4 linked regions of the Mus musculus genome follow. The protein of the gene in region 4 interacts with the protein of the main gene of each other region in a biochemical or structural test. Links are inferred from orthologs where the notes say so. Each region holds a gene or a part of one and is shown on either strand. Other genes may lie near its edges. The genes, in order: Cdc25a, Mark2, Prkd1 and Ywhaq.

The links.
Region 1: the proteins of Ywhaq (region 4) and Cdc25a form a complex in vitro, tested with the Homo sapiens proteins (2 studies listed by BioGRID, with this or other methods). The link is inferred for Mus musculus from reciprocal best matches to the Homo sapiens genes YWHAQ and CDC25A.
Region 2: the proteins of Ywhaq (region 4) and Mark2 form a complex in vitro, tested with the Homo sapiens proteins (2 studies listed by BioGRID, with this or other methods). The link is inferred for Mus musculus from reciprocal best matches to the Homo sapiens genes YWHAQ and MARK2.
Region 3: the proteins of Ywhaq (region 4) and Prkd1 form a complex in vitro, tested with the Homo sapiens proteins (2 studies listed by BioGRID). The link is inferred for Mus musculus from reciprocal best matches to the Homo sapiens genes YWHAQ and PRKD1.

Annotation. Positions count from the first base shown.
Region 1 is NC_000075.6:109,886,506-109,894,000, reverse strand, and holds the end of Cdc25a (M-phase inducer phosphatase 1), read right to left. Parts: intron 6,754-7,495; coding exon 6,655-6,753; intron 5,128-6,654; coding exon 5,065-5,127; intron 4,970-5,064; coding exon 4,871-4,969; intron 4,359-4,870; exon of another isoform or gene 4,291-4,358; coding exon 4,160-4,290; intron 2,257-4,159; coding exon 2,145-2,256; intron 1,923-2,144; coding exon 1,782-1,922; 3' UTR 111-1,781; downstream 1-110. UniProt on the Homo sapiens protein: Tyrosine protein phosphatase which functions as a dosage-dependent inducer of mitotic progression. Directly dephosphorylates CDK1 and stimulates its kinase activity. Also dephosphorylates CDK2 in complex with cyclin-E, in vitro.
Region 2 is NC_000085.6:7,287,379-7,294,873, forward strand, and holds part of Mark2 (serine/threonine-protein kinase MARK2), read right to left. Parts: intron 4,738-7,495; exon of another isoform or gene 4,576-4,737; intron 3,405-4,575; coding exon 3,225-3,404; intron 2,992-3,224; coding exon 2,938-2,991; intron 1-2,937. UniProt on the Homo sapiens protein: Serine/threonine-protein kinase. Involved in cell polarity and microtubule dynamics regulation. Phosphorylates CRTC2/TORC2, DCX, HDAC7, KIF13B, MAP2, MAP4 and RAB11FIP2. Phosphorylates the microtubule-associated protein MAPT/TAU.
Region 3 is NC_000078.6:50,384,914-50,392,408, reverse strand, and holds part of Prkd1 (serine/threonine-protein kinase D1), read left to right. Parts: intron 1-959; coding exon 960-1,083; intron 1,084-2,421; coding exon 2,422-2,499; intron 2,500-3,876; coding exon 3,877-4,156; intron 4,157-5,140; coding exon 5,141-5,193; intron 5,194-7,193; coding exon 7,194-7,266; intron 7,267-7,495.
Region 4 is NC_000078.6:21,391,197-21,398,691, reverse strand, and holds part of Ywhaq (14-3-3 protein theta), read left to right. Parts: exon of another isoform or gene 1-89; intron 90-327; coding exon 328-451; intron 452-2,246; coding exon 2,247-2,410; intron 2,411-3,631; coding exon 3,632-3,727; intron 3,728-7,276; coding exon 7,277-7,336; 3' UTR 7,337-7,495. UniProt on the Homo sapiens protein: Adapter protein implicated in the regulation of a large spectrum of both general and specialized signaling pathways. Binds to a large number of partners, usually by recognition of a phosphoserine or phosphothreonine motif.

The sequences.
Region 1 (7,495 bases), on a different chromosome or scaffold from region 4:
TATCCTCTTGAAGAAATATGGCTGGCTTAATTTAGCTATGTGACCCTGGGACCCTAAAGGCAAATGAGACTCCCAGTTGAGTATATTAGGAACTAGGCAGAGAACAAGGGTTCAAGATCACTTTTATTTGCAGAGCCTGCAACTGTTGGTTAACAATGCTAGCTATGCTGGTACAATCTGCAAGCCATTCTCCTGGAAAGCATTCAGCTAACAGAATCTCTACAAACCAGACCAGGGACCAACTGGGACATACTTCAACACGCCAGGGAAGGGGCTGCTCATTCCCTTGCTCTCCACATATTTTCAAACAAGATTTGTTTAATAGCCAAATGCAACTCAAACCCATAACAAAGCAACTAGCCATCTTCAATATCACTGATTCCCTCCCCGCCCCCAGAATAGAAAGCAGAGGGAAGAGGGGAGACTCTTCCTAAGAAAAACCTGGCTAGACCCCAATGGAGCAAAGATAGCAGAGAGGCTGGTGTCCAAGGATATCAACAGGCAGGCACCAAAACAGGCTGTGCAGAATCAAAGCAGCCTGGCCCCTCAGACGAGAGGTGTTTCCGAGAGCCTCACTTCCATGGGATTAGATTAGGGGGTAACTGATGTGATTCACCACTCTCTGACCCTCAAATTAAAACATGATAAACTCTGAACCTTTGACTTCAAAATTTACTACGCCCTCCTGAGAAATTCCACAGTTGTCTGTAGGCCAGGATACATAACAGCCTGGGCTTCCCGCCCCCCTGCTCACCCTTGGGTGCCCACCCAACACTGATTGGATATTCCGACTCATAAAATGACTTTTTTTTTTTTAAAAGGACATTCAGTGGGCATGCTCCTCCCTCACTCTGTGGACTCCACTCTTTCATGCCCCCCCTCTTCCACCTTGGGGCACACTACAGCATTCCAGTACTGGCCTGATGGAAGCTGCCTAAAGTGCCTTCCTGTGACTCCTACACCAGCCACTGTCATGGGGACGTGGGGTGAGGAGTGGAGACAAGACTTTCCCCGAGGAACACTGCAAAATGCAGAAGTAGGTCTGGGAAGGTTAGCTTATGTCCTGTAGCCAAGCCTGGATCTGGTGCAGGCTCTTACCAGCATCTCAGTCCTTGACTTTGAGTAGCAGCAATACTGGTCTGCAGCGCCTCCTAGGGGTGACTGAGCTCCTTGCGCTGTTCACAACTTAACAAGTTTGCCTTTTTCTTATCCCTGCCCCATTTTTTTTTTTTTTTAAATTAAAAGTAGAGGTAGCTCCTAGGATGATAAAACTCTACCTAGAATGGCAGTATTTTGACTTAATGAAGCAGAAAAGTAAAAGTCTTGAATTAAAACAATAATAAAATAATTGATGAAGCTGAATAAATTAAAGTTAAGAGTCATCCACGAGGCCCTCTCCTCCCTTCCAGCCTATCTTTGGTATTTGGCCAGCAGCACTTGGGCGGCTTTTCTCTCCTCGTGACAGGCCAGGGTCTACCCAATAAGGCCTTCTTCATGGGATGCTCAGTGAGAGCAGCCTAACACGGTGTTGCAGACTCCAGTCTGTGCTGTGCTTGTCCAGCTTTGGCAGACAGTCCTGACAGGGAAGGACTCTTACAGAACAGAAGAGTGTAACGGCAGGGTGCCCTAGGCTCCAACCTGGGAGTGTAGGAGACAGGTCCAAGGAATGGAAGGCCCAGGTCTTTCTCCAGGTACCGTACAGCTGGCCCCTTTGCTTACTGCTCTGCAGCAAAGGGAAAAGGGACGGGGCAGAGGGAAGCTCAGGCTGCTACCATTTGGCTTCAGAGCTTCTTCAGGCGACTGTACATCTCTCTTTTGCTCTTTTCTCCTGCCCAGGTCCGGCTCTTGGTGCGGAACTTCTTTAGGTCTTCTTTAAAGTCTTCATGGTGCATTGGCCGGTAGCTGGGGGGTTCACAGTGAGACTAAAGGAACAGGAGAGACACGGTCAGGATACGCCTGCCTCATATCATCTGGCTTCCTCTGCCTAGAGCTGCAAGGCTGGGAAGGCAGCAAGCAGGTGCCAGTGAGCAGGAGCCTGGCACTTAGCAGATGCATAGTGCGCCCCCAGACCCCGGCAAGCAGCAGCCACAACCGACCCAATGGCCCAGCATGGGGGCGTGGGGACATGCTCACAGACATCTCACCTGGCACTTCAAAAAGAACTCCTTGTATCCCCCCTTCAGGACATACAGCTCAGGGTAGTGGAGCTTGGGGTACTCATTGCCGAGCCTATCTCTCTCTCTCACATATCGGCACCTAGTGAAAAGAAGTGAAGGACACAGTCGGGTCACCTCCTTCAGGCTAGGGGACAGGACACAACACAGGTGGTGTCCTGGCACTCCTTCCACCTGCCTGCTGCCGACACCATCTGCAGCAATAGCTTAGAGCCAGCGTGCTCTCCATTCTGTCCATGGTCCCCTCATTCTGCTCCTCTCACCCAAGTAGAAGTCTTCCTTCTTGTGCCTTTAAACAGCCGAGGCCTTCTACTTCCCCGGTAGCTACTAGAACCCCGTGTCTCTCTGCACTCTGCCTGAGCGGCACGAAAGCCACAGTTTTCAGTGTCCTACTGTGTGCCGCCTCACATCTCATTCACCCCACTCGTCTCCTGTCCTCTATCTGGGAGCTTCCACTCATTGACCTCATTTTGAAGGACTTGTGAACATTTTGTACAATTCTAAGTTTTTAAAATATGCTTGTCTGCCTCCTGTCTACTCTGAAATGTCCCTCCAGGAAGCTAGACTTTTGGTTTGCTATGTTGTTAGTGTTAAATAACAATAAGAATTTGAGAGTGGATGCAAGCCCCCACTATCTCCATTCATGTGTGAATATTCAGTCCTACTCAAATGGGTGGGTTGTTTTCTTTTTTGTTGTTGTTGTTTGGGTGACAGGATCTCACTATGTCACTGTAATGAGATCCTGTAGTAGTCTAGACTGACCTTGAATCTGAGTGCTGAAATTAAAGGCATGCGCCATCATACCTGCCCTTGAACCCAGGACTTCACAAATACTAGAGAAGTGCTCTATCTGATATGAGCCACACTCCTAGCCTAACAGTACGTTAGTGTGCTTCTTATAGGATCGCATGCAGCTCAGGCTGGCTTTACACTTCTGATCCTCTGCCTTAGCTTCCCCAGGGCTGGAACCAGACATGCACCACCATGCCAGATGCTGTTTTAGAGTATCGCCAGCACATCAACATCTGCAGAGGAAGCTCTCCAGACTTTTCTGCCCTTTGCTTAAGGAACAACTGCTTGGACGTTATGAGACTAGTCGGTAGAACGCAATACAGTGGGGGAAACTGGGAGAGCCGAAGTAAAAATCAATATAAAGGACCAACAAGAGTGAGTCATTTGGAAAGAGGCTGAACCCATGGTGATACTACAAAGTTACAACTGGTATCACCGTAAGACTGAACTGGAGAAGCCTGAAAATCATTTGCAATCAAAACGTAAAGGTTAAGTTCATCAACTACATTCAAGAAATATGTCTGGGCTGGGTGGTAGTGTCACAGGCCTCTATACCCAGCACCCAGGAGGCAATGAAGATGGATCTTTGGGTTGGAGGCTAGCATCATCTACATGTCCTGAGTTCCAGAACATTTAGGACTCAACAGAGAAACACTACCTTGAACCCCTTCTCCACCAAGAAAGGAGGAAAAATGTTTGGGAGAGCAAGATGGGTAAAAGCTGCTCAGAAATCCACACAGCAGAGCACTCCCCCAAGCTGACTTCTGAACTCCATATACACACTATGGTAGGGCACTTTGCGCGTGCACAAAATAAAAAAAAGTATAAAATAAATACTAATCGTAAAAATGTCTATTTGGCCGGGTGCCTAAATCCCTGAGGCCAGCCAGCCTATTCTACAGACTGAGTTCCAGAATAGCCAGGGTTACACAGTGAAACCCTTTTTTGAAGGGGAAAAAAAAAGGCTGTTTGAAAGACAAATCAGTGGACAGAAGTCCAACTAAGGGAAACTATGTTATAATAGGAATTATAGTTTCCACAAAAGCCATGTATACACATAATGTGTAGACTGGAGCAGCACTGGAGCGCCTTGTGACTTTGTGAAAGGTGCCTGTGTTAGGGTTGTGACGTGTGCCCTGCTCTCCACTGTCAGGAAGCCTCCGCCCCAAAGCCTTATTCTCTGTGGTACTCACATTCGAGGGCCTCTTTCAGAGGAAAACTCACAGTGGAACACGACAATGACACGCTTGCCATCAGTAGGCACAATAGGGTTCTTAAGTAAGAAGTCTTCAACCTCTTCTTCCATGTGCAGATTCACGGCACCCTGTGGAGACAGCAGACACTGAGCACCTGCTAAGCCACACCCAGGAGTCTGTAGGTCCCACGGCCCAGCAGCGCAGTAGACCACCTGCCTGTTATGTCAGTGAGGCTTTCTCTGTAGGCCATTTCTAAATGTCACTTCATAAAGTCAGAAGCTAATCCCCACTCACATTTAAATCCTGCTTTTTATGGTAATACTAAACAGGCATGACCAGCTCCTTCCTTCTAGAAATCTGGTGTTCCAACATGTCCCTTCCCAAGGTAGGCAGCCTGACTCAACAGCAGAGCCTTGGTACAGATACCAGGGCCATGCTGCCAAACTGGCTTCTTTTACTCAGGAGCTCTGGGGTGCTCAAACATTCATATTTAAATATCCCAAATGCTGTGGAACTCTTTGTGGCCCCACTGAATAGCTTAGACATCAGGGATGCCACCTAGAAATGCCCTGAAACAGGACAGTATGAGGGAGTGAAGTGGAACTGGTGGGAATATTCATTCAGTTTGTGTATATTGGCCGTCAGCCAAGAGATGTCACTATCCCACCTTCTAAGACTCCCAAGATAATAAGTCTCAAGAATCCAAACCTTGATGTGACCTCCTTCATACTCATATGGGTATCGGCAGTCAATGATAACAAACTCTTTAATGAGACCGGCAAACTTGCCATTCAAAACAGATGCCATCTATGAAGAGAGAGGGAAGAGGGTGTCATTTGCTGGCTGTCAGGTAACGAGATTCCAACTCCCCAAATGCAGTGGGTTCCAAAAGCCTGACTTACAATTTCTGGAGAAATATATTTCAAATCCTGATGCTTCCCAGAGACTGTATTAAAGAGATAACCCTTTAGAAAATGAAAAAAAGGAAACAGAAAATATTTAGAGGAACGTGAAAGCTTGCAAATATTAAGGTTTATTCTGCTGCCTGTGTGGTAGGAAGCAGCTTGAAAAACAAACCGAGAAACAAACATAAGTCAATACTATATGCTAATTACCTTTCTATGCACTTAATCAACATCTAGATATTTAATTATTATTGTTTAAGGAGATATGTTTTCATTATGTAGAGCAGTCCAGCTCCAGACTCCGAGGTGAGCCTGCTCCTGGGGTAAGTTAGTAAATGATTATGCTCACCCTCTGGGTCTGGTCTTACCACCTAAGGAGTCCCGAGTCTAGATCTGAACACAGAAACCACAGGTCATTTCCTTTCTCCACTGGCTTTTCTTTTGTTACTGTTTTGTTTTGTTTTGTTTTTCAAGACAGGGTTTCTCTATGTATCCTCAGACACAGAGACCTGCCTGCCGTTGGAATGCTGAGATTAAAGGTGTGCAGTAGCTGCAGCACCGCCCGGCACCTTCCCCCACCCCCCTCCTGTTTTTTTATCAGGAATTCTCATCTTAGTATGAGAAATCACTTAAATGCAGAGAGGACAGTCAGGCCGTTGTGGTACAAGTTTAGTCCTAGCATTAGGGGTTGGGAGGAGGCAGAGGCAGGCGATCTCTGAGTTCAAAGCCAGTAGGGACTACAACGAGTTCCAGGACAGTCAGGACTGCATAGAGGAACTGTGTCTGGAACAGCAAACACACACGCAGTGAGGAGATCAGGTGTGACTCAGGAATATAATAACAGCATTTGGGAGGAGGATATAAGTTCAAGAGCATCCCTAGTTTGGAGTTTGGAGCCAACTTAGAATATGAGGTGGTTCTGTAACAAATAAAACCACAAAGACAGTGGGTGTGGTACTGTAGGCTGAGGCAGTAGAACTAGGTTAATTTGGGTAAAATAGTGAGGCCACGCCTTGGAAAGCGAGACAACTTGCTCATGTGATGGGCACCTGGTTGCTCAGGATGGAGTTAGGTAGTGAGAATGGAAGAACATCTTGGCCCAAGCCTAACAAGGACGAACACCTCAGTGCTACTCAGTGCTGTTTATCCCCCTCAAAAACTCCTTGTTCTTCCTTGTTTTGTTCTTTTTAGACAGGGTCTCTCTCTATATAGCCCTGGTCCTTGAAGTTACTGTATAGACCAGGCTGGCTTCAGTCTGTCTAGCTCTGCCTTACAAATGCTAAGATTAAAGATGTGGGCCATCATGGCTAGCTGTACTGTACCATAGCTCAGGCTCATGCTTTCCCAGACACACTGGTCAGAGTGAAGGTAACCGTACAGGGAACCACCGAGCCAGCAAGTCTCATGACCACCACGTGCCTCATCCTGACAAGTTCAGCTGAGCTGATTGTTCTTTAGCTTTTACTTTTAAAACTGCTGCCTTGGCGGCACCCAGGGGCTGCCTTGAGGAAGGAAGGAGCAAGGTAAGTGGGGTTCTAGCACCCCTTGCCAACACCACCGGACTAGAGTGACTCTGCTTGCAGTTACCTTGGAGAAATCTCCTATAAGGTCTCTTGGGTCACTGTCCAAAATGTTCTCAATGGTTCCTTTGGGGGAAGACATCAGGGATAGAGACTGGGATGGAAGCTGTAAGAAATCCAAGGTAGAGAATGAGACCAGGGTTTTGATTAAAAGCTCTACAATTATTTACCTTTACCATGCCAAGAAAAGGAAACTGAAATATGAATGCCTATAGTAAGTAAAAGATTCTGTACTGTGACTTAAGCAGAGGAAGGATAGCTCCATGCTATCTAGTAACTAGTTGAATTTCCCTGAAACCCACGAATCTCTGGTTGGCCTGGAACTTGATAATGTAGATCAGGATAGTCTCAAACTCAAAGAGTGCACAGAGATCACCGGCATGCCGACACACCAACCAGCACCTGTCCTCTTTTACTGTTCGCAATGAGAACTGTTGAGGTGATACCAAGACAGGCGTGAGATACAATCCCAGAGGCAGGAGGACTGCCACAATGTTGAGCCTAGCCAGGGCTATATGGCAAGAATCTGCCTTAAAAATAAAAATTAAAAAACCAAAAACCAAATCAAAACCTGAACCTGACACTGTAACAGAAGATCATTGTCATGTATCTCACAAAATAACACATAATTACTTTATCTCAGTAGAGTTCCTGAACTTCTGATAAGGAAGGTTTTTGTAAGAAAACAAGATTTGAGTTGTAAAGATCATTTGGATGGCTTCTAACTAAACAGCCTTCTGTTGTGATTCTGCTCTACAGCTACACAAGGAACCACTGTGTAAGCACGCCTGAGAACTGTAATCTAGAGGCAACAGGCGTAAGATTAGAACTTTGAACTATTTCTTTTT
Region 2 (7,495 bases), on a different chromosome or scaffold from region 4:
CTGCAAGAGAAGACACATGGGCTCATTTCATGCCTTTAGGTCCCCTCAGAGTCCAAGTGGGGGTCCCTCCCTCCCTCCTTCTCTTCTCTCCTCATTCTCTCTCTCTCTTTCTCTCTCTCTCTCTCTCTCTCTTAAAACAGATCTTCCTCTTAAAGAAACCAAGCTGAAACCCATGGAGAGAGGGAAGGAGAGCAGAGAGGGGTGAAGGTAGGAGCAGAGCTAGCTCATTCACTAACTTATTGCTCAGACCTTGCCCTCTTCTACACCCATGCAAATCTAGCCTCAAAACAGCAGTCGGTGCCTCTGCAGGGGAGAAGGGGCCTGAGTCCTTGATTTTCAGCACCGAGCTCCTCTGCCAGCTCAGAGTCCAAACCGTTGAACTGGCCTGGTGACCAGAGAGGTGCTCCACAGGGATACTGTGTCCTCTTTTGACATCAAGATGTCAGAGGGCCTACCCTGATGATAGGCCTTTCTTTCCTGAGTCTCTGAGGTAGTAACAGAAGAAACCACCCACACCTATATATAGCTGATGCCAATTTTAATCAAACCCACTCCCACACACTCATGTTCCCTTTGTAAAACAAAATCAGGGGCTCCAAACCATCCATTTCCATACTGAGAGATGACAGAGATGAACCTCTTCCCCTGCAGGCAACAGACAACTAAAGGAGGGTTCTGAAACTTCCCAGGCTTCATCACTCATACAAGGAACAGAACTGGTTGGTTGGTTGGTTGGTTTGTAGGGACATGGTGGTTTGTCTGGGGCCCTAATTCAGGATGTAGTTTATAGAATAGTTAAAAAAATGGCTTCCCCCGGGCTGGAAAGATGGCTCAGTGGTTAAGAGCACTGACTGCTCTTCCAAAGGTCCTGAATTCAAATCCCAGCAACCACATGGTGGCTCACAACCATCCATAATGAGATCTGACGCCCTCTTCTGGAGTGTCTGAAGACAGCTACAGTGTACTTACATATAATAAATAAATAAACAAACCTTTAAAAAAAAATTTTGGCTTCCCCCCTTTAATGTTGTCCCAGAGCTTTGGTTGACTGCAACAAGAAACTTGATCCAACCTTCCCACTTCATCAGAGCCCACCCAGGCTTTTCTTGCTCCTCTTTCACCTAACAGTATGCTGGTAAAAAAAAAAAAAAAAAAAAAAAAAAAAAAAAAAAAAAAAGCAAAGGCTCTTGGCCACCATCTCAGAGTGACCAATGGGGACAGACCTGAGATGGTACTCAGAGCCGGTAGTCACTTTCCCATCCTCTAACATATCCATTTGGTATGGGAAAGCCTAAGCCTAGAGCGGCCAATGTCTTTAAAAACTCCAGTGTTAAGTAAGGAACACTGCTAAGAAGAAATGTAAGCAGAGTTAACTGGCCTGAATGAGACTGGTTTTACTAACAAAGTATGTAAAAAAGGGTTTTTTAAATGGCTTTATTTCTGCATCTTGGGGATGGAAGCAGGAGGAACAGGCGTTAAAGGATATCTTTAGATACATGGTGAGCTCAAGAGTAGCCTGGGTATATAATATCCTGTTTCAAAAAAGAAAACAAAAACAAAAAAACAGAACCCCTCTATTTGTCTGGCACAATCAATCAGAAAGAAGTGGGGAGAAAAAAGAGGTAGGGAATGAGATGGCTTGGTTGTCAATGGGAATGAACAGAGTAAGCAACAATGAACAGTAAGCCGCTATGCTCCAAGGCCTTTGCAGGGCTGCAGCCAGTGTAGCAGGGACATGTGTCCTCCTTTTTTCTCCACAAGCTCTGATAACAACCTGGTGACGATCGCATTGCTTCTGTTCTAACAAAAACCCTTCAGGGATAATACAATTTGTAAACACCTTAAATCTAGCTGTTAGCATGCCAATGAAGCCACTTTATCAATTCTGATTCGGGGAACAGCGCCCTCTGTAACATTCTCTGGCTCCTCATCCTTTTTCCTATCACTGTGGCTATTTACCTGGTTATGCCCCTCTAATTCAGCCACTGTAATATGCTCATGAAAAAACTTGCTTGGCCCTAAGAACCAGGTCTTAGAAAAAGTGAGCAGGGGTTAGATACAGTAGAAAAACCAAAGGAAATCTGATTAACCTGGGTAGCACCCCATACCCCCAACCCCTTCCCCGTCTTCTAACCGCCTTCAACCCAGGAGGATGAGGGACAGTGCTTCCAGTACTGCAAGTTGCCCCTTCTTTTCTCATGCACACGTTTCTTTGGCACAGGGGTTATGTCTCTATTTGGGGGTTCTCCTACAACCCAAGGAAGACCTTAGTTAACAAGGGAAGAAAAGTTCAACTTTACCTAGCTAAAGCTGCTTACTCACAAAATGAGTATTCAACAAGAAAGCCTAGAAATTGGGGATAAAGCAGAGTGCCTTTAATCTGTGCACCCTGTCACACACAGGCTTAGAACTCAAGTCTTCCAAGCTCCTCTCTTAAATGGAGCCTGCAGAGATCCAGGGGTAGGCTCTGCTTCTTTAACCTGAACTTCTAGGGCCACTCCACTGGGTCACTCAGTGTCTGGGTCTGCATATACCTCTAGCAATGCTATAGACGTGTTTCTGCAGAGACCTGGACACAGGCCAGGAGATAACATGATCAGGAAGTAGGTCAGACCGGACCAAGTAGCTGGAAGACTTCAGAAGAGCCCTTGCTTGTGGCCAGGAGGCCTACTGGATAGAATTACCACAGGGAACCCAACCAGAACCATAGGTAAAGGGCATAAGTTTTTTTGGGTGTTTGTTTTTCAAGACAGGGTTTCTTTGTGTAGCACTGGCTGTCCTGGAACTTGCTCTGTAGACCAGGCTGGCCTCGAACTCTGAGATACTCCTGTCTCTTATACCACCACCACCTGGCTTGAAGGGACTGTTGAGTCTTAAGGAAGCGATTTTGTGGGCTTGTCCTTAGGAAGGGATGGGAGGCACAGGGTGGGGACTCACTTTCTGTAGGCTGGAGGAGTTCAGCTGGGTCTTGTCGATGATCTTCACAGCTACCTGAACAGGAAACAAAAAGCCCAAGATCACTTTCTTGAGCAGACTGAACCAGGACTTGGTGCTACTTTCTCCATCGAATTTTCTACTCCTTTACATGCTTGGCCCTAGCATAGCTATCAGATCTCACTTCTGCAGATAAACAAGAGGCTAACTGTAGGAACAGTCTCAGCACTGCCTGCTGGGAGTGTCAACAGGCTAGGAGCTGCTACCATGGCCCCAACCCCAGTGCTCACCTCTTTCCCCGTCAGGATGTGCCGGGCCAACTTCACCTTGGCAAAGTTACCCTTGCCAATGGTCTTAAGGAGCCGGTAGTTGCCAATATGGGGCTGCTCGTCAGCAGAGGTGGCTGAGTTGCGGCCCCGCAGCATGTTGGACTTACTGCTGGGCTTGGAATCAAGGTGTCCCAAGGTGGGCTGCAGGGTGGAAACAGACACGCCTTTACAGGCTGCCCCTCTAGTTCTGTCTACCACTACCCTCCACTCTGAAGAAACGGCAAGAGTCTGGGTGCAGGGGCAGACTCCAAAGCAGACTGGCAGGAAATACAAGGAATCATAAGGCAGGGGAAGAAGACAGAGAAGGGAAGGCATCACAGCCAGTTTTCACTGCAAAGGCACATAGCATAAGGTTCAGGGCTAAATCCTGTACACAGCAGCGCTCAGGACCAGAGCTATCTCTCATCAGCACCACCAACCACGATTAGCCCCCAGTAGTAACCTAGTGGAGTCTCTGCCCTCATCATAGCTGGGAGACCTTGTCTCTGACTGCCCTGCTCACACTCCAAGAATGCTGGTTCTCAGTTGCAGGAACACATGGTCTAAACACTACAAAGTTCTCATCACCCAGGTCTTAGCATCAACGTCTACTATTTATTCTTTACATTTGTTTATTGATGTGTCCAGTGAGATTGGAAACCCACGAAGACAGTCTATAATATTCTTTATTCACTGACACATCACATCGAACACCTGACAGTACTCAGAGAATCACTGTCCAACAAATAAATACAACAACTGCTCTGTGTAGTGCAGCAGCCTGCCCTGCCCTGCTCTCCTTTCTGTATTCAATGGTGCAAATGAGCCGAGAAGCCACAATAGTTACATACAAAGTGCATAGTTTCAATGAAAATAGGTATGAAGACGGTCCTGTGCACCAATGGTCACTGAGAATGGTCATACTTCTCAATGCTAGCGGGGAAACAAATCAACAATCAACTGATGAATGTGACACCACAGTAGAATAAGAACTCGTCATATGGAAGGAAGCACTGATACTGCTGCTCCAAAGAATCCCCAAGAGACAAAGAAGCTGGCCACAAAGGACCGTCTTCTTTGACTCTATCTTTGACTATATAGAATATACAAAGCTAGAGAGGCAGATGCAGAGTCATAGTTATCTAGAGGGACATTTGAGGTGACAGGTAAAGAGCATGGTGTTTCTTTGGGGATAACGAAAATGTTTTGAAAGCAAACAACACAAAATGTAATAAAAGCCACTCATCTGTACTTGGAATGGGTGAATTATACTCCAGTGTCAAGGGGAATTACCACCCCCCTACCCCTCACCCCGCTTTGAATCCTGATTCACCTCTCAGAACATCTGAGCACACTGCCAAGTTGGTTCCACAGCCTGAGCCACAACCAGGCAGAGCCACCTTGTCTTCAGGGAGACAGCGAGGAGGGCAGCAGGGTGACTGGAGATGACGGGCCCACTTTCTTCCCTCAGATCCCTTCAGACTCGAAGGGAAGCCTTCAGAAGCCACAGAGAAAAGGCGTGACTTCAACACAGGGAACTGCCTGAAGTTCCTTGGCAAGAAGTGTGTGGGCTTTACAAAATTCCCTTTTCTCTAATGTGTCAATCCAGGGCCTTTGTGCAGCAGCTGTGTGCTAGTTTTCCTGATTTGCTAACTCAGACCCCAGAAGCCCTTGCACATGGACAACCGTGAAGGTCCCCTTGACCACTATGTACAAACCTAGAGAGGCAGATGCAGATTCAAAGTTATCTAGAGGAAATGTCATCTCTGTGACAATTCCTTAAGTCCCACTGTTGTCAATCTGTAGCTATCCACAGCAGAGGATGGACAAATAGATTTTTTTTTCAAGAATCTGCTTCAGAAACCGTCTCCAAGGAACCCTGTGACTCATACTTGGGGGAAAAAAAAAGGCAGTTCTATCTGCAGCTACTTCTAAATGATACTTTGAGACCATCCACAGGTCTCAGAAGCCTAGCTTTAATGTCTAGCACTGCTATTCAGTGCTCCCCCTGCCCTCAGGGCACCAACAACTGGAAACCTCCCCTCTGCCTCAGCTGCTAAGTGGGCGCATTCCTTGGCAATTTTCTTTTTTGTGGTGCTGGAGATTAAACCTGAGATCTCTCATATACTAGGCAAGTGTTCTACCAATCTAACACCAGACCCTTTCCTTAACAACTTAAAAAAAATTCTGTGTGTGTGTGAGTGCTTCAGTTTATGCAGCACATGTGTGGATAAGCCCACTGAAGTCAGAAAGGGTAACTGGATCCTCTGGAGCTACAGTTGTAGGCAGTTATAAACCACTATTTCATCTGAGGTCCACTCCAATAGCAAGACACGCTCTTAGCCACTGAGCTGCTGCTCTACCCCTTGGTAACCTTTACTGTAAGTTCCTGTGACACCCCTTTCCCAAGGGCAGAAACCAAGGACAGCAGGAACTTTGTAGGGCTGAAGCCCAAGAACCTAAAATTCTCACACTAAATAAACATAAGAAGCTGGATCCTTTGCCTCTCTGAAGCACAAGCTAGAAAGCTCCAGCCAGGTTTCCCCTGGGCTCACTGTTACACCTCAGGCAGTAGCATATCAGCCTGCCGTGTGCTGGCTTCCTTATGGGTTAGGATGAGCAGTGTAGACACAAACTCCCAGAGTTCAGACCCTAACTGCTACTCAGCTCAGGTTAACTTTCTTGCTATCAACTTCTTCCTGAAAAAGGCGAGAGCGTTCCACCCCAAGATGACCTGTGCTGGCGTTCATGCGGGGGTGGGGGTGGGGGTGGGGGTGGGGGGTGGTGTTGTCCAGCATACAGAGGAAGGTTCCAGCCCTAGCTCCTCACGTTAGTTTCCTTATCTGTAAAGTGGCAATAAAACATTTCCTACCTTTCACTGGCAAATGAGAGAACATTTGTCAACTGTTTTATCCTATGTTAAATAAAGAGCAACCATCAGGCAGCCTAAGTTATAGAGAAAGGCTGGCCAAGGCTGTAAAATGGTTTTTGTTTTTAAGCAACTATTATGTCTCCAAATTATGTCTTAAGTCCTCAGTAACCTTTTGGACTCAAGCTGAGTCTGCTAAGCCAAATATAGTCTCACAGAAATGTTTAGGGGTGACAAGGGTTCAAACTAAGCCCCCTGCTAATCTCCAGGCCTGGTGAAATCCAATCAGAGCTGTTTGTTGACTATCACAGGCTTTCTTAAGAAGAAAGGAGAGGTGCCAGGCACTCAGGTAGGACACCTGTGAAAGGCTGGTCCCCAGCACAGAGGAGAAAGGGCTCTTCATTAGGACCCAAGGAAGTAAGCCAGCTCTGAAATCTGCTCCATGGTTCCCTGTTCCAGTCAACAAACCCCTCGTCAGATCTGAGCTCTCAGGACTTAATCCAGTATTTCTCTGACACCACTATTTCTTCATTACACAAGATACTTTCTAGCAGAGAAATGGGGACAGGGTGAGGACAACCCATTGGGAAGAGCATGGAAAGATGGTAGAAAGTAAAACTGCGCAGGCACTGCTTCTTGAGCCAAGGACCCATGTAAGGTAACTCCCACCCTCTCCTGCTGCTGCTCTGGGGTAAGAGTGGGGTGGCCATTATGGAGAGCCTAGCGTTCTTCTGGACCACAGAACAGGATCTGGCTAAGTGCTGCTCCCTCCCCATGCTCAGGCTCACTGTCTACAGCAGGATGTAGACCGTCAGAGCTATGACCCATGTATACCCTAGCCAGGCCCCTAGCTTCCTCAGTAAAAGAACCCCTGTGGCTCTCAAGTCGTCTTCATAGTTTCTAAGTAGCCCTAATCTAGAACAACAGCCAAAAGCTCTCTGGGGTTAGTGATGGACAGACGTCAGAATCTTCCACCTACTGAACCCACCCAGACTTTCAGACTGGGAGCTTATGGTGCCAGAAGATAGCCTCCACCCCAGAGGTCAGCATTGACTCGGTAAGGCAGGGTCCCCTGCCCTAATACTGGCAGCTGCCATCAACTGTTCTCCTCTTAAAAAGCCATGCTCTGGGGGCTCCCCCAGGGCCAGCCCTCCAGTGTACCATGGCTTCTGCAGACTGGGAAGGGCCAGACTAGTGCTGGGCATGGGGGTGGGGGAGCAGGCACTTCCTGGCCAAACAGAGTAAGTAAGCTTAAGGGAGGCGGAGGAGTAAAGAAAGGGCCCTTTGGGCTCTTGTCCTTGGTCCCAGGTGGACTCCCACTACGATACCCCTTTTTTATAGCCTGTTTCCTTTCCTCTGGCTGGTGAGGCCAAAGATCTTTTGG
Region 3 (7,495 bases), about 29 Mb from region 4:
AGTCAGTCCAGCATGGCCACCAGGTCAAATGGAACTGCTTCCTGCTATGTAATTGGATCTTATTGCAGCCATGCCTGTTCATGCCATCTGTGTCTGCTTCCATTCTACAATGGCTAAATGGTGAATTCTACAAAACCTAGGATCCTCTCGACCTGAACCCTTACAGAAAAAGTTTCCCACTCTAACTAATTGACATTATAACCCATACTAACAATTTTCTGTCCATTTACAAATGCCAAATTCATTAACACTTTGAGATTAATTGTGACCATGCAAAGATATTTTGCATGTCTTCCATTTACTGGAATAATAAACATTCTTTTAGTAGGGAAGCTTACTAGTCATATGACTTTGAAAGCATACAGTTCTTTTTTACCTGAGGATCTGTGGGAAGCAGAGGGAAGGATGAAGGGGGAGGGGGAAAGGATCTAAAAAGAGTCACTGACAAGAGATAAAAAGTGAAGGATGAAAGTAATTCCATGAATACTAGATCTGTAAAAGACTAGGAATCAACTCATCTGGGAAGTTCTAGTTTGCTTTGTTTTATTATTTGTTAAAGAAATCATTCAGACAGAGTTTGTATAGAAATCATAAATTATTAGTAGTATGCCTATTGCATATAACAAACTTTCCTCTGATTTTGAATATTGAGGCTTCTAAACACTGACAGTGAACCCTGCTGTTTTCCTAAAACTTTGAATGCCATCAAGATCAATGAGAAAAATCTCCCTGTATCTGACTCTGCCTAGGGAGTTTTAGAGTGAACATCTGAAGTACCCGTCACTCCCCCAAGAAACTCACTTTCTGAGCCATCAACCTCTGACAGTACATTTCACTGAAAATGAGACATGCATTTCTTTTTGACTTGTGCTTTGAAATAGTTTAAATGAGCTTTTATCCGTGGGAAGAAGATCTGAATGTGAAAATATTTCCCTGCTAACATATTTTGACTTTTCCAGCCCTTCAACGAGCAACAACATCCCGCTCATGAGGGTAGTGCAGTCTGTGAAGCACACGAAGCGGAGGAGCAGCACTGTGATGAAGGAAGGGTGGATGGTCCACTACACCAGCAAGGACACACTGGTAAGGGGACAGAACTGCTCCCTGTGAAGCGGATGTCCCGGGGGACTGTGGGATACGAGAGTTCTTGGGAGTAGACCTCCCAGCAGAGGCAGAGGGTCTGCAGACACATGCTATCTGGATGTTTGGTGTAGCTGAATAGATACTGAGGTTAGAATAAACTGTACAAAGCAATTCCAGTACAGAAAAAAAAATCTACAGACAACTAGAATGTCTACATCATTTCAAGGACAGCTGAAAAGATGCATGGTTTTAGTGTGTCCCTCTGTAGTCTAGAGGTTCAAAAGAAGCTATGCCTTTTGAGAAGCAAGAGAGAATACTGATGACTGTTTAGCCACCCTGGTGTGTGACAACTTTGTAGTGTGTTTCCTTTCTTACCAGTAGAACCCAAATAGCTGAATAATAAAGTTACATATTTAGCTAGAAGAGCGCACCCTTGAGGCATGGTTCAGAGTTTAACTAATTGACATTTGGTGAGAGCTTCTCATTGTCCTTTTTCTATCTCTGCCCTCCAATAATATTTCCACCATGTCTTTAGATAAGGAGACATGTGTACCTTTAATTGATTATTTATTATTTACACCTTCGTATGGGAGAGAAAATTTATTTCAGGACTCAAGTGAACTCTATAACTTTCTTTTTGGACCAGTTGGAAAATATTTAAGGTATATTTAATGTTTGTTTAGTCTAAGAGTGGCTGTGAGAGACACCAAACATAAAGTTGAGTCTTTGCTCCTGAAAAGATGCTAATGCACGAATCCCCCCAAAGGTGATGTACCAAGAGAGAAAAACCCAGTCATTAAGTCACAGTGATGAGCTGAGGAGCCAGCTGGATATAAGTCTCTAAACTTGGAACCATGAGGGCAAACCTTCCATCTAATGAGACTTATTTAGTGATGTAGCATTCAACATTCTATGGAGAGTAGAAGTGAAGATGCTTAGCTGAGTCCTCAGGGCCAGTCTAAAAGATTAACACAGACAAACCATCTAGCTGCTACTAAGCCCTGGGTTGTTTTGTAGACTACAAAATCTCCTTTAGCTTTTTAAGCAAATAAATGTTTAAAAATTGGGTGTATTTTGGTATTCATTGTGTGCATATGAATGTCAATTCAGGTACTTCCCAGGATGCTAACCCAGTATCTCGGTTATAATTCACAGTCTTAGAAGTAGGTACAAAAACACGTCACATTATGCTCATTAAATAGCTTCTTGAGTTAAATTGTAAGTTGTTTTTGCCTTTAAATTTAAACTTTTCACCATCAAATCCATGTTCCCTCAGAGAAATTGCACTTGTTTTTATAAAGCGCTCGAATTTTTAAAGTTGTGTAACTTCCATTTCAGCGGAAAAGGCACTACTGGAGATTGGACAGCAAATGCATAACACTCTTCCAAAATGACACAGGGAGCCGGTACTACAAGGTGAGGCTGGCTTCTTTCAGTTTTGCCTCATAATGTTCCTTAAGGAAATCGGGAAGTTGGTCCACATCCAACAGTGTGACCATTCCTGGGCTCCCGAAAGAAACCTTTTAATTGGCGGGATGCGGTTTTTGTAGGAGTTCAGATGTGACATCTTGATTAATCTGTGTGTCTCGCAATTGCCAACAACGTGCTTCTGGCGCAGGGGCTTCTGGGGAGCCGGATGCTGGAGAAGGAAGCGGAGGGGAAGCTAAGTGCAGCAGGGTAGCTGAGTGGTTTGGTTTCAATAGAGAGTTGGTGGCCACAACCCGAGACTACGAGTAAATCTGACATCCTCAGGAAGCCAGCACTGGTTACAGGGAGATCCATTCCTCTGTGTATGTGAGGATCGTATCCCTTTATTTATCAGCAATCGTCTGCCTTTCTACATTAAATAATATACAAGTAGTGTCTAGCTCAGTTCCTGTGATACTTCATGGTCTCCGTTACACAGCTATGACACCACACAAGAAAAGGTTATTAGATTTTTAATTGAAAAAAAATAAAATTATTACTTTAGTTACTTTATGCATCCTGCAGTATAGTATGGCACCTCATGTTTTTAATACTTAAATGACTATTAAAAAAAAACAACTAATTTGGGAGTTAGGAAGGATGGATCATTCAATAAATTACTTATCCCATAAGCTTGATGATCTGGGATCTGAGTTTAAATTCTCAGAACACATAATGACAATGATCATCATTGTTATCATCATCATCAATAATAATAATCCAGGCATAGTCTAATATGTCTTATAACCCTAATGTAGACACAGCAGAAATAGGCAGATTTCTGGAGCCAATCAGTGAGCCTGAGTTTAGTGAGAGATTCTATCTCAAAGATAGGTACTAGTTGTACAGGCACACGTGATTTAAAAACAAAACTTCATTGTAAACTAATTGCTGTGGTTTTTCTCAGTGAACATTCCTCTATGTAACTATGCTGTATTAGCATATATAGAATCAAAATATGTTTGACTGAGATGAAGAAACAGTTGAAATACAAAACAGCCATGAGTATCCTAATACATTTTTAAAGATGTTATAATTTGCTTCAAAGCTTTTTAGATTCTTCCATCTGCCACTGGATCAGTATGTGTGAGAGAGAGAGTGAGGGAGGGTGGAAAGATGGAGAGAAGAAATTTTTCAGAGAGTGTGATAAGGCCTCATTATAGAAAATTACATTTTATGCAGGTTATAAGGCCTCATTATAGAAAACTACATTTTATGCGTGTTATATATATTTGAAAATATTTTCTGTATTTTGTAACTTCCTTTCTCATTTAATAATCGGCATGATTTTGGTTAACCACATTTACCATTCTTTGTCTTCCATAGGAAATTCCTTTATCAGAAATATTATGTCTGGAACCAGCAAAACCTTCAGCTTTAACTCCCGTTGGAGCGACTCCTCATTGTTTTGAAATCACTACAGCGAATGTAGTGTATTATGTGGGAGAAAACGTGGTTAACCCATCAAGTTCCCCACCAAACAACAGTGTTCTCCCCAGTGGCATCGGTCCGGATGTGGCCAGGATGTGGGAGGTGGCCATCCAGCATGCTCTTATGCCCGTCATCCCCAAGGGCTCCTCTGTTGGCTCCGGATCCAACTCACACAGTGAGTCCATTGGCTTCAGTCTGGCATGGCTCAGGCTCCTGATGGTCCAGTAAGAGACCTGCTGCTTTCCCCAAAGAGATGATAAAGAAAGACTCCCCGTGCTGGCTTCAGTTTGTGGCAGAACATGGAATCTCTGAAGGGAAGCTGCTATGCTTACTGAAATATGTATTAAATTGTTATACTTATTTTATATTAGAGCTTTTATAAAGTCAAGTATAACCTATATACTATACGACCACAGGTGCCCACAGCTATTGTTCCTAAAAGACACCATTCAGTCAGTTTGAGCTTCACTTGGAATGACACAAATATGAAAAAAAATCTATTTGCTACAAATCCCTCCTCCTTTTCTACCCATGGTCTATGACTGTTGTTGCTGCTTGATCACTTTATCCCAGGAAGAACTTTCGGTGCACTAGTCAAATAGATTCAGCTAGAGTAGAAGCAAGATGAAATATTGAGGTGGATCTTAAAAAAATAGAGGAGTACCTTTATGAAATTATGATCTGAAATTCTATCACAAATCATGCAACCTGAAGATTAACCTGTTTTAACATTATAGTATATTTTATCTGTCATAATTATATTTTTTCTCAGTATATTAATAGGATACACTTATTTTGACCACAAGGAATGTATCTGTATGTAAACTAAGCACTTAACCAGAGGCCTCTACTTTAACTCCTAAAACCCCATTCCTTAATGATTTGTCTACATTCAAACAGAAACAATTTCTAGAAAGTTGGTTGTCTATTAGCTAACAGAATGGCTGCATAATTTAACCCGAGCTCTATGCTGACAAATAAATATTTAAAAACAAATTACAGAGTTTGTAATGTTAAGGGAGCTAATATATTTTAATAGAAATTTTGTAGAAATACCTAATTGCTGTGATTAATGTAAATATAGTAAATATGGCCCACTGGGGTCTTTAAAAATATACTTTAACTATTTCTTGTCTGTTTTTTAAACATGCATTTCCAGAAGATATTTCTGTGAGCATTTCCGTTTCAAATTGCCAGATTCAGGAAAATGTGGTAAGCATGTGTCTATTCATATAAATCCCAGAATGTGATTACTGGAAAATAGAACGTATCACATGATAGATTTTTATTTATCCAATTTTCTGTTTACTTTCTTACCGTACATTGTTTACTCATTTTTCTATACTGCAGAATATAGTACCAAGGGCTGTTGTCATAATAGACAATTGTAGTGTGATATACAATTTTTCATATTTATCTTAGGATTTTGTTTTTTATTTTTTGTTTTTGTTTTTTTGTGTGTGTTTGTTTTGGGGATTTTTTGTTTTGTTTTTGTTTGTTTGTTTGTTTTTAGATCAAAATAGGACATATAGTTTACTAAGAACACAGCAGGAAGGAGGCAGGCTTGGTAGTGACAGCTAGGAGTACCACTGATCTGACTTGATAATTGAAATTTAATGGTTGGTATTGCACAGTAAAATAGATACATTAATAATGTAAAATTTTTATTTGTAGACCTTTTTTAACATGCCATTGCTTATCTCCTTGCTAACAAGGTGTGCTGATAGATGAAAGGGGCTGCAAATATTCTTAGTCACGTATACATGCCACAATATAGATCTCAAAAACGTCCCCTAAATCAGGAACTATGATCACCAGTGCCACCTAGCACAGACTTTTCAGAATTCAGAAGTTATAGATCACATCGTAAGATGTTTTACACGAGGTTGTGTTTGCTTGATTTCATCTTAGTACTGAAGATGGAGTACCTACCTCAGTGCTGTGACCAACAGCATCAACTGCTTGCTCTCTCTACCTAAGACCCAAACAAGCCAGTGGACCATCCTGCTTACAGTGATCTGAGATTGTTTATCAAAAAACAGACTCCATGAATATCATCTGTTCAGTGCTGCTCTTGTCCCTGGAATTCTTGATGACCTGGTGTAAACTGAGCAAAGGCAAGGGTGAATTACAGGAGGTCACTTCACAGTGCAGGTTAAATGGATGCTTGAACTGTACCTCCTGAGATGCAGACCTCAAGACTGCAGGGTTCTGCTGCCCTTGCTTAGACAGAGGAGACCTTGGAGAAAGCGGGCAACTCGAAAGCTTCCTGGGTAGTTCCCAGGGGACCTCAGAGTCCTTTATCCTGATTGTCCACTGAAAATTTTGAAATGAATTTTCCAAGAAATTCTGAGGAGTCCGTTGGTTAGCGTGGCTACAGGAAAAAGGGACCAGATTAATGATGTTCCTTGCCAGAGAGTTTTGAACTCACTTTCTGATACTCCAGAGGCATCACAGACACAAGCTTCCTAGTTGCTTTCTAAGAGAAGAGAAGGAAAGTGGTGGGAGAATGTGGCTGAAAACTGATTTTTAAAAAAATCAAGGTTTGCAGAGTCGAACTAGGCAGAAAATGTACTAGGATGCACAGTACCAGGAAAATAAAAAATAAAAGCTTTGTAGTGTTTCCATGAAATCTTTTGGTAAAAAAGATGCAATATGAAACCCAGATTAGCTCACTCTCTATCCAGCGATTACAGTTTCCCAAGTGGCGATACTGTGGTTATTTATATAGTAGCTGGGATTCCTGGAATAGTTGTGTGTAGCTTAGGTTCTTGTAGAAATGAGAAATAAGCAGGAGTAGCCCCATGGTTCTGGCCTGAAGGTAAAGCTGGATTGTGACAGACATGTGGGCCCATGGGATAGTTAATGAAATTTCTAAATTACTGGTGCAGAAATAAGAATACATAGAATACATTCTCAGATATTTATAGTAAATTCCATTGATTGGTTTTAGATTCCCCCTTCTCTCTATTAAAATGCCCCATATCCAAAGTACTTAAGAGCGGAATAGTTTTCAAAATATTATAGGAATGTAATTTGAATATTATAGCCATTGAAATTTTATCCGACATTTAGAAGTGTTAAATGAGCTTTGGAATGTTTAATTATATTTCTGTTCAATCAGCTAATAGCAATTATAATTATAAAATGTAATAGGATTAAAGCTTGTCTCCCCTCCCCTTCTTTGTCTTTCTCTGGGTATGCACCTGTAGGATATCAGCACAGTCTATCAAATATTTCCTGATGAAGTTCTGGGTTCCGGACAGTTTGGAATTGTTTATGGAGGTGAGTAGGTTCAATGTGGGTTTTTTCTATGAACTTAAAAATGTAAGCACTTATGTGTAAAAGTATTATAGTACCAAGACAAATATAAATAAAAAAAGGATATGAATCTGTGTGTCTCGGAGTCACCTTCAGAGAAGCTTCCTCTGAGATAGCCATTCTTTTAAAGATCTAGTTATTTCATGTATATGCCTTCAGGCACACCAGAAGAGGGGCATGGGATTCCATTACA
Region 4 (7,495 bases):
ATGAACCTTATTTCAGGCTTTTTAATGTGTTTACGCAAACACAGGTTTATGGCACCGAACTAAGCAGGTATCAGTTAATATTGGGTAAATAGACTACTGACTGGACAAGCTTCTTCTAACAACAGTATTTGCTGTTATCTAAGTTTTTTGCTATAAACCATGGGCTGAATCATTTAAGGCCTGCCGGGGAAGCTAGTATAAAAACCTAACCTTGAAACCATATTTCAGGTCCAGGTTTGAATGATAGATAGTCAAAAGTATAAGTTGTCTGTGATTAAATGGCATTTTACTAGTTTTTGTTTTGTTTATTTATTCATTTATTTTTAGGAATTGTTGGATAAGTATTTAATAGCCAATGCAACTAATCCAGAGAGTAAGGTCTTCTATCTGAAAATGAAGGGAGATTATTTCCGGTATCTTGCTGAAGTAGCTTGTGGCGATGATCGAAAACGTAAGTATATTTGACCCACGGGTAAATCCAGAATACATAAAAAGAAGTGGGAATGGGTAGTCACTTGTCACTGTGACAAAATAACCCGAGAAAGATAGCTTGAAAGGAGAGAGTTACATTGGTTTCAAAGGATTGGTTCATTAGTTAATTCTGTTAGTGTGGACCCTGAAGTAGGCAGAACTTCACAGGAATTGCTCATTTAATTGCATCCAAGAAGCAAGAGGGTGGGGATCTAGAGACAATGTCTATCTTTTCAGGAAACACTCCTTTGGCCTGTTTCCTTTAACTAGCTCCTGCCTCCTGGATTTCATCACATCCTGATAATACCATTATCAAAGGTCTGATCCATTGGACTGATCAGTACACTAAGTTTGTAGTTCTTAAAAGCCATACAAACTTTCAACCCTATCTTTAACACGTGCCTTAGAGAGTATTTCATATTCAAACCATAACAGGATAATTAGCCACATGTAGGGTAGTAATCTGTAGGTAGTTTGCAGGTTCTTTGTAACTTAAAAATAAAAAATTATATGTCTTGTCCCAGTGGATGCCCCCACACCTGTGCCCATATGGCAACACTTAATTAGATAGGGAGGGATATTAAGTACAACCAAAACAAAGACAAGCATGGGGATGATGGGGTAGGGGCACTAAGAGTGTTTTGGAGAGGATGATGGTGGGTGGATATGATTAAATTGTTTAAATGTATGAAAATTTAAAAGAATAAACAAATGGTATTTAAATTAAAAAAATTGTTTTTCTGTGTATACATGTTTTGCTTGTGTGTGCTTGGGTGCCTGGTGCCTTTGGAGGCCCTGGAACTAGAGTTTACAGATGGTCGAGCTGCTGTGTGGCCTTGGAATTGAACCTGGGTTCTCAGGAAGAACCACCTGTATCTTAACCACTGAAATATTTCTCCATCTACATCAAAGAAAATAACAAAAGTCTTTAAAATGAACACTTGTAGTGGTACACATCCTTGGTCCTAGAACTTGCGAGGCAGACAGGTGGATCTCTGTGAGTTCAAGGCCAGCCTGGTCTGCATGATGAGATTTATGATAGCCAGAGCTATGAAGAGATACCCTGTCTCAAAAAAGAAGTATTTTATATAAAGGAAATTGAATTTCTTTTTTTGATTGTATTTCTGAAAATGAAAACACTGCAGCATCTAGGAAGCTGGAGCAGGAGAATTGTCAGAACAACCTGGACTACATAGTGAGACCCTGCCTCAAAAAAAAAAAAAAAAAGAAATGAATTTATCCTCAACAAAGTTGGGCTCATGGGTGAACTCTAATTGTGCTTTTATATTACAAGCAGCCTTAATCTTTCATGCTTTGGGAGTTTGTTAAAATTATAGCTCTAATTCTATGTAATTCTAATTCCTTACATAACACTTCTATATTTCTAATAAAATTATATGTAGAATATAGAAATAGGATGTTGCTGGTTATTTGTGTAGGGTATGTGTGCTAGAGCTTGAAACCAGGACTTCACACAGAATATTTACTTTTTTTCAGTATGTGTGTGCCTGAATGCCATAGCACACATGTAGGGATCAGAGGACATCTACCATGTGGGTTCCAAGGATCAAACTTGTGCTGTCAAGCTTGTTTGGTGTCAAGCAACTTTATCTACTGTCTTACTGGTCCAAATAGGTTTTTGTTTAAGTATACTGGAGCTGTGGTGATCAGAATGACTCATAGCCAGATACCTATGTTGAAGTTGTTAGCATGTTGTATATTGGATAGATGCTTTGGCTGTTGTGCTTAACTTTTTTCCCGTTTTCAACTCACAGAAACAATAGAAAATTCCCAAGGAGCCTACCAAGAGGCGTTTGATATAAGCAAGAAGGAGATGCAGCCTACGCATCCAATCCGCCTGGGGCTGGCTCTTAACTTTTCTGTATTTTACTATGAGATCCTTAATAATCCAGAGCTTGCCTGCACACTGGCTAAAACGGTAAGATTGCTGTTGGGTTCATCCCTCTTTTTATGAGGATGTTTGAGAAACTAAGTATATTAATTTTTAAGTATTTGGATGCTCAAGGGAGGCCATTTTCATGTGTGTGTTAGACAGTTTCTCTATTACTGACTCTCCTCCATCCCTACCCCCCAAACTGCACCAGTTCCTGTAAGAATTATACTAAGTGTTGTTTAATGTACTGTGTATCTTGTGATAAACCAACAAATGCTTGTAAATATTTAGAGTGAGTTTCAGATTATATTGGGGGGGGGTTGGTTCGAGACAGGGTTTCTCTGTATAGCCCTGGCTGTCCTGTAACTCATTTTGTAGACCAGAAATCCGCCTGCCTCTGCCTCTCAAGTGCTGGGATTAAAGGCGTGCCACCACGCCCGGCTAAATTTTTTTTTTAAGATTATTTATTTTAGGGCTGGTGAGATGGCTCAGCGGGTAAGAGCACTGACCACTCTTCCAAAGGTCCTGAGTTCAAGTCCCAGCAACCACATGGTGGCTCACAACCATCCGTAATGAGATCTGACGCCCTCTTCTGGAATGTCTGAAGACAGCTACAGTGTACTTACTTATGATAAATAAATAAATCTTTTTTTTTTTTTTAATTACTTATTTTAGCTGGGCAGTGTTGGCGCATGCCTGGGGAGCAGCACTTGGGAGGCAGAGGCAGGTGGATTTCTGAGTTCGAGGCCAGCCTGGTCTACAGAGTGAGTGCCAGGACTGCACAGAGAAACCCTGTCTCGAAAAACCAAAAAAGAAAAAGATTATTTACTTTATGTATATGAATACGATGTAACTGTCTTCAGACACACCAGAAGAAGGCATCAGACCTCACTATAGATAGTTGTGAGCCACCATGTGGTTGCTGAGAATTGAACTCAGGACATCTGAGAGAGTAGTCAATGCTCTTAACTACTGAACCATCTCATCATCCAGCGCCCCCCCCCCTTTTTTTTTTTAAGAAGCAGAGCAAGTATAGCTTTAGTGAGGAAAGGTGAGGCCAGAACTCTCCCGAATTGGGGCATGGGGGCAGGGGAGTGGGACTTGAAGTGAGGAACACTCACAAAATCTTAAACTGGGGCTCCAAGGGAGTACTTCCATAGTGTTACCCTGTAGCGTAATGTGGTTGTACACACGGTTGTATTTGCAGACTGGCTAGCTTCTGTTCCTGAACTAAATGTATAATACTACAAATGTTAACTTTACCAGGCTTTTGATGAGGCCATCGCAGAGCTTGATACACTGAACGAAGACTCCTACAAAGACAGCACCCTCATCATGCAGTTGCTTAGAGACAACTTAACAGTGAGTTGTTCACTATTAACATGTCTGTTTTCAGAAACAACAGTAATTTCGTTTTGGGGGGGTACAGTTATAGAAAAGTTATAGCCTCTTTTTTTATTGTCATTTTTGAGACAGGGTTTCTCTGAGTAGCCTCCTTGGCTGTCCTGGAAATCACTCTGTGGACCATTCTGGCTTCATACACACAGATATCCACTTGCCCTGCCTCCCAAGTGCTGGGATTAAAGATGTGCACTACTACTGTAGGACTAGAGCTATGGTCTCTTACAAAATTTGGAGAAATGTCTTCATGATGACAAAGTATTTTATCAGACCTTTCTATGAAAGTAGAATATAGTATTATCATTACTTTTAGACTTAGTGGAATGTGTTGGTAACAACAGTTAATGTAGAGAGCTTGTCTAGTTCTAGTATTTCCTTTCTTTGGGTAAATTAGATATAACAAATTAGAGATTCTATATGTGTTGCAAACTCCTTATTTTACTAAAAGTTTCCTTGGAGGGCTAGAGAGATGATTCAGTGGTTAGGAACATTGGTTGCTATCTCAGAGGGCCTGGGTTTGAGTCTCAGTGCCCACATAGTGATTCACAATGGACTAACTCTTGTCCTAAGGAACCCCTCCCATGGGCACTGTACACACATAATATGCAGGCAGCATGTCTGTGCCTATAAAGGTTTAATTTTTTTCTGTTGTGTTTGAATATTTGATAGAGGGTTTCTTATTTTGCATTCTATTGCAGTGTGAAAACATGGTGACTAAAAAAGTATTGGGAAGAGAAGAATTTATTTCAGTTTAGATTTTACACTCCAGCATGGAGGGAAGTCAGGGGGTGGGCGGTGGTGGTACCACCTTTAATTTCAGCACGTAGGACAGAGGCAGGAAGATCTCTGTGAGGTTGAGGTCAGCCTGGTGTATATAATGAGTACCGGGATAGCTAGGACTATACAGAGAAAGAAATCCTGTCTCAAAAGAAGAGGGAAGTCAGGACAGGAACTGAAGCAGAGGCCATGGAGGAGTGCTGCTTTTACTCACTTGTTTCCATGACTTAGTCTGCTTTCTTTTATAACCCAGAAGTACATGCTCAGGGGTGACACTTCTTCCCATAGTGAAGCTAGGCCCTCTCATGCCAATCATTAATCAAGAAAATGCTGCCAATCTGATGGAGGCATTGCTTCAGTTAAGGTTCCCTCTATCCGGATGACTTTGGCTTTTGTCAGATTTACAAAAACGAAAAGAACTGACACAGGCTAAGCCTATGTGTAAGTTTACCTCTGCTTATAAGCTAAAGCCCGTTTTATCTTTTCCTTTGGTTTTTCTTCCTCATTCTTAAGCAGTAGGTAAAGGATGCATTAGTGTTCTGTCCTTGTGACAAACCGGATTAGACAACTTTAAAACAATGCTGAGTTTAGGATTCACGAGTGTAAAGGTTTCAGTCCCCAGTAGTAGCGTGGGTGCATTGTGTTGAACAGCTTGACAGGTTCAGTGAAGTGAAGGCCTGCATCTCCCCTGGCAGCCATAGGAAAGACACCTATCAGTGTCCTTCAAGGGTGCTCCCACAATGACCCAGCTTTCCATAACTTGATAGCTCCTCTAAAGGATTGTACTACCTCTCTAAAGGTACAGCATGAGGAGCTGAGAGTTTAACTTAAGCCTGTGGGGACATTTCATACCAAAGTATAGCAAGAAACAATTGAGAAATGGTGAGGCTTGAACTTAGTCATTTTCTGTGTTCAAGTAAATTTGATAGGATAATATTTTAGACTGAAGACAGAGAGAACCAGGAGGGAATGATGCCTTTTAATATAAATAGAGTTTTCCCAGCATCTGGTTGTGCTGCTGTAGCTTTCACTTTCACTGTGTGGTATTAATATTACAGTGTTTTTAAAGTTCCATATCTGTTCAGTTCTCCTGAGCAGATGATGAGTTCATGGAAAAGGAAATCAGGAAAGCGCTGTGTGTTCTTAGATGTCAGCAGAGCAGAGCCACACACAGCTGCTCCTATGAATTGACTGTAAGCTTCATGGACTCAGGACTGTTTACTTTAATAGTGATTTAAGATCTTTATTTATTTGTTTGTTTGTTTGTTTATTATATGTAAGTACACTGTAGCTGTCCTCAGACACTCCAGAAGAGAGAGTCAGATCTCGTTACGGATGGTTGTGAGCCACCATGTGGTTGCTGGGACTTGAACTCCGGACCTTCGGAAGAGCAGTTGGGTGCTCTTACCCACTGAGCTATCTCACCAGCCCTATTTATTTATTTAATGTATTTGAGTACACTGTAGTTGTGCAGATGGTTGTGGGCCTTCGTGTGGTTGTTGGGGATTGAAATTTTAGGACCTCTGCTCACTCCAGTCAACTCCGCTCCACCCAAAGATTTATTTATTACTATACATAATTACACTGTAGCTGACCAGATGCACCAGAAGAGGGCGTCAGATCTCATTATGGGTGGTTGTGAGCCATCATGTGGTTGCTGGGATTTGAACTCAGGACCTTGGGAAGAACAGTCCATGCTCTTGCCATCCCAAGCCTACTTTTTCCTTTTTTTTTGTTTTGTTTGTTTGGTTGTTGTTGTTGTTTGTTTATTTGTTTGTTTGGGTTTTCAAGACAGAGTATCTCTGTATAGTTCTGGCTGTCCTGGAACTCACTTTGTAGACCAGACCAGAGGCTGGCCTCAAACTCAGAAATTTGCCTGCCTCTGCCTCCATAGTGCTGGGATTAAAGGCGTACACCACCACCGCCCACCTCCAAGCTTGCTTTTTCTTAAGTTGCAAGTAGCATCTTAGTGTTGATAAATTACGTTTTCTGAACTGATTACAGTTAGTATTGACAGTGGACATTTTGCTTCCTCTTTTCAGTCTTAACTAGAGACATCTTGGAATACTCTAGTTTTAGCATTCAGTTAATGCACACATATTCATGCTATGTAGCCTTTATCACATATCACCATTTAAATTTCTGTCGGTACAGAGTAATTCTGTTGCTTTTTCTGTTACTCCTTCATGTACTTGGAAATAGTTAACAAGACCATGATTTTCTCCTTATATAGTTCTTGCTTTATTAGTCTCATAAATTATATTTAAACACTGTTTTCAAGGAAAGTGTTTCACTATTGAGAATGAAGAACATGAAATTCTCAGCACTTTGTATATTCTGTAATTACAGTTTACTTGTGTGGAATTGGAAACTGTCTCAGTCTGCTTTTCATTGCTGTCATAAAGTCCATGACCAAAACAACTTGGGTAGAAGTATGTATTTATTTGATTTACATGTTATAATCCATTCTTGAGGACAGTCAGAGCAGGACCTCCAGGAGGAACCTGTAGATGAATGATAGATACTGTCCACAGAACACATGTATGAATATATGTAGTTAATGTGACATTGTAAATGTCTGTTAGGCTATGTTTTAAAGGGGTGATAGATAGTTCTCAGTTTGAGAAAGGACAGTCTTCATCATCATCTTGCTTAAAGGATTGGTGTTTTAAGGGACTTCATGCTTGGATGGAAGTAATAAGTTAACATAGTTCTCTTTTTCTTCTTTTGTAGTTATGGACATCAGACAGTGCAGGAGAAGAATGTGATGCAGCAGAGGGGGCCGAAAACTAAAGGCATCCAGGGCACCAACCTCCTTCCCCTCAAGAAAACCTTTTTACATCTCCATTCCTTATTCCACTTGGATTTCCTCTAGCAAGGAAGCCCATTCGTGTGTATGGGATCAACTGTTTATATAGTCTTTTCACACTGCAGCTTTGGGAAAACTCCATC